3 linked regions of the Yarrowia lipolytica genome follow. The main gene of each other region encodes a partner of the protein of the gene in region 3 in a complex. Links are inferred from orthologs where the notes say so. Each region holds a gene or a part of one and is shown on either strand. Other genes may lie near its edges.

Region 1 (1,989 bases), on a different chromosome or scaffold from region 3:
ACAGCTCTCAAACGATCCTCAGCTCGAACAGTCAACTTCCAACCCATGCCTACATCTCGGTACTTTGAGAAGGTCAAGAAGGAAAGCTCGAAGCCCGAGACGCCCTTCACACCCTTCAACGGTGACAGGCAGATTCCCGCGCTGTTTGAGGTACAGGACCATTACGACGACAAGGTCATCGAGCCTCTGGCCCATGACATTCAGCATCAGGCCGGAGGTTTCACTCTCAAGGCAGCATACGCAAGAATTCTCCAACAGGCCTTTTTTGGTCTAGGTGTGGATGTTCAGACCGAGCTGTTGGCTGAAGAGAATGGCAACAGCAACGGCACAGCAGTACCTGTCAAGACAGAAGAAGACCCGGTCAAGCTGGAAGAGCCATCGATACAGGTCAAGGTGGAATCCACGGTATAACAACAGTATTTATATGCATTATATTTGAACAACAATGAAGTATTTATGACTTGTGTATACTACTTGTAGCAGGTAATTGTACTTATAGCCACGGTACCTGTACAGTAATCAGCTAATAGAATGGTGTTTATACAATGCATTTGTTATGGTTGCCCAAGTTTGTTTTCATAAATACGACCGTCCGCGGCTCCATCTAGCTGAATCCACGTAGCAGAAGAGCTCCAATGGCTGCAGTCTCCACCTGAGCTCTATCATCTAGAGAGACTGTTCCTGGTAACTTGTATACCTTCTTGACGAGCTTGATATCTGTGTTCTTGGCAATCTGCTCGTCAGTAAAGGGCTCTTCGGTTCCCTCAACCAGCTTCGTGTACTCTCCTCCGCCAATCTTGACAGCCACAATGTTTGTGGTATCGTCCTGAATTCCAAATCTCCTTAGAGAGTCCATGATGTTGTTATTCCCTCCCAGACAGAACAGCACCTCTGAGTGTACGTTTTTTGTCTTCATGGAGCCGGCTTCCTGATCGGAAACGGCTCTGTAGACGGCTGCGAGCAGATGCTTGGACGAAAGCAATGTGTTGGCATTAATGAAAGCCACCTGGTAGTCGGGGTTACCGCTTAACAGCTCGTTTCGAATCTGGCCGGCATTCTTGACGTCTGAAAAGTAGGAGATGGCAATCTCCTGGTCGAACTGGGGAAACTTCATGTTGTGGCAGTGAATCACACGATCTGACTAACGTAATGCTTTTGAAGAGTTCGGGTATAGGATAGTCTGGAATTTGATACTCAGCTGTGTGGATTCCAGATACTGGTACTCGTAGGATTTTCCTGCAGATGGTGGAAGATAAACTTCGGAGGTCTTACCACAAGTAAGACGGTGGTTGGTACGTGGGATATATGTGCTGTATTGTGAAAGAAGGGGTTCTACAGACAGCGATTGTTTATGAAACATTCCAGTTGATTTATTAAGCAGCACAAATTTCAAAATTTGCCTCAACTATTGACAGGTATCATTCTACTTGTACAAGTACGTAATGTACAATCATCCTGCCACCACTCCTTCACTCTCCTATTAATAACTCTATCTTCGGTGCTGCATACATCTCCCAGTTGGATACATAAACAGCATCCATCTAAACACCTCAGCACCAATTGTATAATGATTTCTCCAGGTGAGTATGCCAGAGATCCCCGTAAGAAGCCCACTAACGCCAGTTAAAACCTCCGTGGCTTCTCCGGCCACCACCAAGGGAGTTGCCGTGCATCTCTCCTACAACCCCAAGACCAACGAGGTGGCTTACGCCAACACCAAGGCAGTGCTTCTGGTGAATCTCGACAAGCCCAACGAGGCTCGGCAGTTCAATGGCCACATTGCGCCAACCACCGTCGCCAAGTTCTCTCCTTCAGGCTTCTATGTCTGCTCCGGCGATCAGGCTGGCAACGTCAAGGTCTGGGACCCTGTCTCTTTCAACATCAAGTACGAAGCCAAGATCGGCAATGGTCGAATCAACGATCTCAACTGGGATGCTGACTCTCAGCGAATCATTGCTGTGGGCGACGGCACAGAGAGATACGGTCATT
Region 2 (2,437 bases), about 1.5 Mb from region 3:
TTGACGACTTCATTGATTTCGGTGGAGTCGTCCTCAAGACTGTCACCTCTACCCTTGACATCATCACTCACCCCGACAAGTCCAAGGGCACCGTCTACGACAACCTGCAGAAGGGTGTCACCCAGATCAACAACCTCTTCCCCACTCTGATTGACGACCTCAAGACTCTGCCCATTGTCGGTGACGTCGCCAAGACCCTTGGCCCTCTCATCATCAACCCCCTTTCCGAGGGCTTCGCCAAGGTGATGCAGCAGATTGCCATCACTATTATCTCTCTGTTCACTGACGGTCCCATCTCCACTATTGGTGACGTCTTCAGGAGCCTCTTCGGCAACTTCCTTGACTTTATCAAGCAGTTCATTGGCTCTATTGCCAACCTCTTCCCCTGGATGCACTCCGAGACTTCTTCCATGAAGTCCGCCTCTAACCGACTTGATCAGGCTTACTTCTCTGCCGCTAACAACTAAGCGACAGATACCCGACGATTCCATTAATTTAATTTATAACTCTACTTCTTACTCTCGGATGCTCGTAGATAATGTAGAAGTATCTACTGTGCAACCCTACTCTGTTTAGATCGACAAACGAGTCAAATAACATGAAGATCAGATGACTACGCCGCGCAAGGCTGTCCCTGAGAGACCGAGGGTGACTTGTATGAAATGGGGACAAAGTGTCCGTTTCTTGTATACTAGTACGAGTACTCGTAATTGAGCAGTTTCAGTGTCTGTTCAATGTCGAGCATCTCTCAGCCGACAACGAAACCTTCGTCTCGTATCATACGACCGAATCGGGGTTTCTGAAAGGCCTAAACTCTGCTGCAATTTGGTGAAAAATACATTTATTATGTATGTACTACATCAGCGGGCTTTACAAGGTGGTTTCTTGTAGAGTCTCTACGAAACAGCTTGTTACAGTACCCTTACAGTATCTCGTTGAAAGCCATTTTTTATCTCTCGTAAGAGTACTCAGAGAAGAAACCATTTATATGCCTCTGGTTGCAAGCCTCACAATGCAATGACAGTATTGCTCTATTGCTCTTGTTTCTCTCAGCTACAAGTACCGGTACCCAGGCAAGGACTCTTCCAAGAGACGATCCCCAAGTATCCCCGGATATCAAGTTTACCAAAAGTCTACAGCCGGTTTTAAAGGTCCGAAAGCAAGCGTAAGACTATTGGGGGTGATAAGAGCACGTGGAAGCTCATAGGCTTCAAGTTTTATAAATCGAACGACTCACACTTGGAGCACATGATTGGATTAGTAATATGCAATGAAATATCCATTTCAACGGCTCTCGTATTGTTCTCTGATCTATCCATCTTATTCCACATTTAATCACATTTAATCACATTTAATCACATTTAATCACATCTTAGTCACAATCCAACAAAGTTCAGGACCTACATGCAACCGTAGAAACGTTTCACACCAATATCAACCATGCCAGGCAAATACACACTGTGAGTAGGAGAATGTGGGGGAAGCCACAACACTCGCTTTGGACACGAACTAACACAGTGACGTGGAGATTCCGTTCCCCAATGACAGACAGGCTCAGATTGTCTGCACCACAATATCTCAGGACAAGCCTCTCAAGGCCGACGAGCTGAGCCATGAGTTGACCACCAAGGGTTCCAGTCTGTTGATTCATTTTGCCGCTGCATCTAACCGGTCTTTGCGAGTCGGTGTCAACAACATGATGGACAACATTGGCACTGCCATTGAGTGTTTGGACGAGCTGGATCTCGACAAGTTTGGACCATAAGTGAGAGATAGCGAGTGAAGATGGAGGGCACTTATGAGGCCGCAGGAGGGGCACGGCGGTGTCAAGCTGGCATACTGGCACCTCAATATCTGGACAGAGTGTGATCATTTCCCTAGCAACTGATTAGTCATCACACAAACGCCGATGTCTGAATAAATTTCCCTAGATTTGCAGCAGTTGTAACTGTCCCTGGACGGCACCAGAGGCAAACCTGCGAACCAGAAAAGGCAAACGTGTAAAACCAATAAACATCAAATAATCAGCTAGTTCGGGTGTGATATCAAGGACCAATGGTGTAGAACCGTTAACAAAAACAAGTACAGGTATGTCGTGTGTGAGTGAGCATTGTCATGTTGCATGCCACCTGAGATAGGTGAGGAAGACGCAGATCTCATTGCAGCCATGTCTCAAGAACTGATCAGACAGGGAGGCCATTCTTGTTACTCATTTTAAAGCATAATGACCAACGCCGTCTCCAAGACTAATTGAGATTGTTACTGTAGACTAATTTACGGTGGCAATTTCACAGAAATTACGGCCTTCCCTTTGTGGGCGTCCCAACTGACTAAGCAATCGTAAGCGCAGTTGTGTATGTAATCCTAACTAAGGTAATTTATATCACTCAGCATACGTACATTACGACCAGCAGCAGCCAAGACGGAAATATTGCAC
Region 3 (2,198 bases):
CGATGGCTCCCCCTGGTCCAAGAAACAAAAGACTGGAGATGAAGATGACGAAGACGAAGATGAGGTCATCTCCAACCCTCTCAAGCTGCCTCTTGGGTGGGACGGAAAACCCATTCCTTTCTGGCTGTATAAGTTGCATGGTTTGGGAATTGAGTACACATGTGAGATCTGTGGAAATACCACCTACCGGGGCCGAAAGATCTTTGACAAGCACTTTTCCACACCCAGACACATCTTTGGACTCCGATGTCTTGGTATCGAGCCGTCTCAGGCATTTAAAGGCATCACCAAGATTGAGGAGGCCAATGCATTGTGGGACCGAATGAAGAAACAGCTCAAGACGGTGGAGACTCGAGAAGAAAACATTGTCGAGGTGGAGGATAGCGATGGAAACGCCATGAGTGAGAAGACCTACGAGGATCTCAAGCGTCAGGGATTGTTGTAGATAACTTATAGCATAATGTATATTACCTAATAGCGGGAAGACGATGTGTCTGTGCAGTGTGTGAATGCTAATTCCGAACATCTTTCGATGGTACAATATCTGATATACAATCAATATTCATGTTAGGTATGGTTTTGTTGTGATTTTCGTACATAATTCATTACGCAGTCGTCACTTCAACCTAGCATGGACCGCTTTCGTCCTCGCTGTCGAACATCCTCCAGTTTTCGCATCACCTCTTTCTGACTCTTGCCGACAACAGCCAGGTATCCTTCAAACAACCAGTCGCAGTACTGTTGACTGTGGACAGGATGAGTACTGAGAACGGCTCGCTCCATGACATATAGATCCACAGCCTTATCTTCGGCCAGAGTGGACACGGAAGCGAGTCCAAAGTCGATGATGACAGGCTTGCCGTCTCTCAACATGACGTTCGAAGTGGTCAGATCGCCATGGACAATGTCAGATTTATGCAACTTGCCGATTTCTTGGCCGACAAGAACCAGGGTGTCCTTCAGAGAAGACACGTCACCATCCGGTAACGATCTGCTCTTATCTCCGGCCTCCTGGGCCCCTCCTTCGGTGTCTCCCTCCTCGTTCCAGATCCACTGCTTCACACTCAGACCTTCGATCTTCTCCATGTAGATGAGTCCGTTTTTGGCATCGATGAAGACCAGATGGGGCACTTCCACGTCTCCAAGAGCCAGCTTCTGCAACACCCGGGCCTCGGCCAGCGTTCTGTGTTTGCTGAGCTGGGCATCAAGTTCCGGAAGACGATATGGCTTCTTGGGTCTGTATTTAACGATGCATTCTTGTTGGGGGAGGTAGGGGTGCTGGGCGGAATACACCAACGACTCAGCGCCTTGTGCAATGAGATTTTCCTGCTTGGACAGCTTCTCCAGCTGCTCTGGAAGTGTGATCATGATGTGGTGGTGGTGGTTAAGGCTAGGAGACGATATGCAGCTTGATACAATTTATTTCCAGTCATGTGATCAGAGAGAATTTAGACCGGTGTAAAATGGGGTATAGGGGAGATGAGAGAAGAGTTGCAAATGGATATAGGTAATGTTGGATTTTTTGATATCATCAGGTTTTATTGTATTATTTATCTCCCCAGGGGGATATATGGAGTGGACATGTTCTTACTTGAAGTTACTCTATAATATACTTGAGTTTAGTTGACCATTTTTCTCCTGACGACAACAACTATTTGGGTGTGAAGAAGCCTCAAAATGACTGTTTTTCAACATTAATCGAATCAGAATGATATATCCAATATGATCATGTATTCACTAATAGGTCTTCACAGCCAAATATACCATCTTTCAGTGCCTCTCCTGTTCCCAAAAGTGCTACAAGAATCAGAAGTTTCACCCTAACATTGTACACACACTTTCCACCATCCAATGACAATGTCCAGTTTCATAGAACGGTGAAAAATGTCCTAAGGAGCAACAGCGTGCTCTTAGCCCATTTCCCCTTTCGTTTTTCGCCCACAATCCACCATCTCCAGATATACGTAGATTTGTATCACGTGACTTGAGATCATCAGCATGCAGACCCCAGATCTGACTCAGCTCTATCTCTCTACAGCTACACGCAACCCCGGGAAATCATGAACATCCTACTGCTCAAGAACCCTACGACGCCGCGAGATTTCTACCAGGAGCTGTTTGTCGAGCAGAAGGGTCACAATGCTGTTTTTGTGCCTCTTCTGCAGCATTCTCCGGTCGGAATCGAATCTCTCAAAACA

Evidence for each region.
Region 1: the proteins of YALI1_F13046g (region 3) and YALI1_E02372g are in contact, whole or in part, in a crystal structure (PDB 4WW7), measured with the Saccharomyces cerevisiae proteins. The link is inferred for Yarrowia lipolytica from reciprocal best matches to the Saccharomyces cerevisiae genes BUD32 and CGI121. Residues at the interface, in NP_011778.1 of Saccharomyces cerevisiae: Tyr12, Leu13, Thr14, Asp16, Val17, Thr35, His36, Pro37, Tyr38, Leu39, Pro40, Ser77, Arg78, Ala81, Tyr84, Leu85, Pro87, Val91, Pro92, Gln93, Leu94, Ile95, Ala96, Cys97, Asp98, Pro99, Tyr100, Asn101, Trp105, Glu107; in NP_013676.2 of Saccharomyces cerevisiae: Ser4, Ile6, Pro7, Gln8, Pro10, Gly50, Glu51, Tyr54, Ser55, Tyr58, Lys59, Ile62, Glu63, Tyr66, Asn67, Asp159, Phe160, Gly167, Arg170, Ala171, Val173, Asp174, Gln177, Leu178.
Region 2: YALI1_F13046g (region 3) and YALI1_F28212g share a complex: the UniProt entries of both Saccharomyces cerevisiae proteins name them as parts of the EKC/KEOPS complex. The link is inferred for Yarrowia lipolytica from reciprocal best matches to the Saccharomyces cerevisiae genes BUD32 and PCC1.

Annotation. Positions count from the first base shown.
Region 1 is NC_090774.1:236,133-238,121, forward strand, and holds YALI1_E02372g (uncharacterized protein), read right to left. Parts: upstream 1,115-1,989; coding exon 605-1,114; downstream 1-604. Other genes in the region: YALI1_E02355g (uncharacterized protein), read left to right, coding at 1-411; YALI1_E02377g (uncharacterized protein), read left to right, coding at 1,587-1,989. UniProt on the Saccharomyces cerevisiae protein: Component of the EKC/KEOPS complex that is required for the formation of a threonylcarbamoyl group on adenosine at position 37 (t(6)A37) in tRNAs that read codons beginning with adenine.
Region 2 is NC_090775.1:2,820,320-2,822,756, reverse strand, and holds YALI1_F28212g (uncharacterized protein), read left to right. Parts: upstream 1-1,440; coding exon 1,441-1,460; intron 1,461-1,518; coding exon 1,519-1,765; downstream 1,766-2,437. Other genes in the region: YALI1_F28222g (uncharacterized protein), read right to left, coding at 1-491. UniProt on the Saccharomyces cerevisiae protein: Component of the EKC/KEOPS complex that is required for the formation of a threonylcarbamoyl group on adenosine at position 37 (t(6)A37) in tRNAs that read codons beginning with adenine.
Region 3 is NC_090775.1:1,303,842-1,306,039, reverse strand, and holds YALI1_F13046g (uncharacterized protein), read right to left. Parts: upstream 1,369-2,198; coding exon 622-1,368; downstream 1-621. Other genes in the region: YALI1_F13072g (uncharacterized protein), read left to right, coding at 1-445; YALI1_F13039g (uncharacterized protein), read left to right, coding at 2,061-2,198. UniProt on the Saccharomyces cerevisiae protein: Component of the EKC/KEOPS complex that is required for the formation of a threonylcarbamoyl group on adenosine at position 37 (t(6)A37) in tRNAs that read codons beginning with adenine.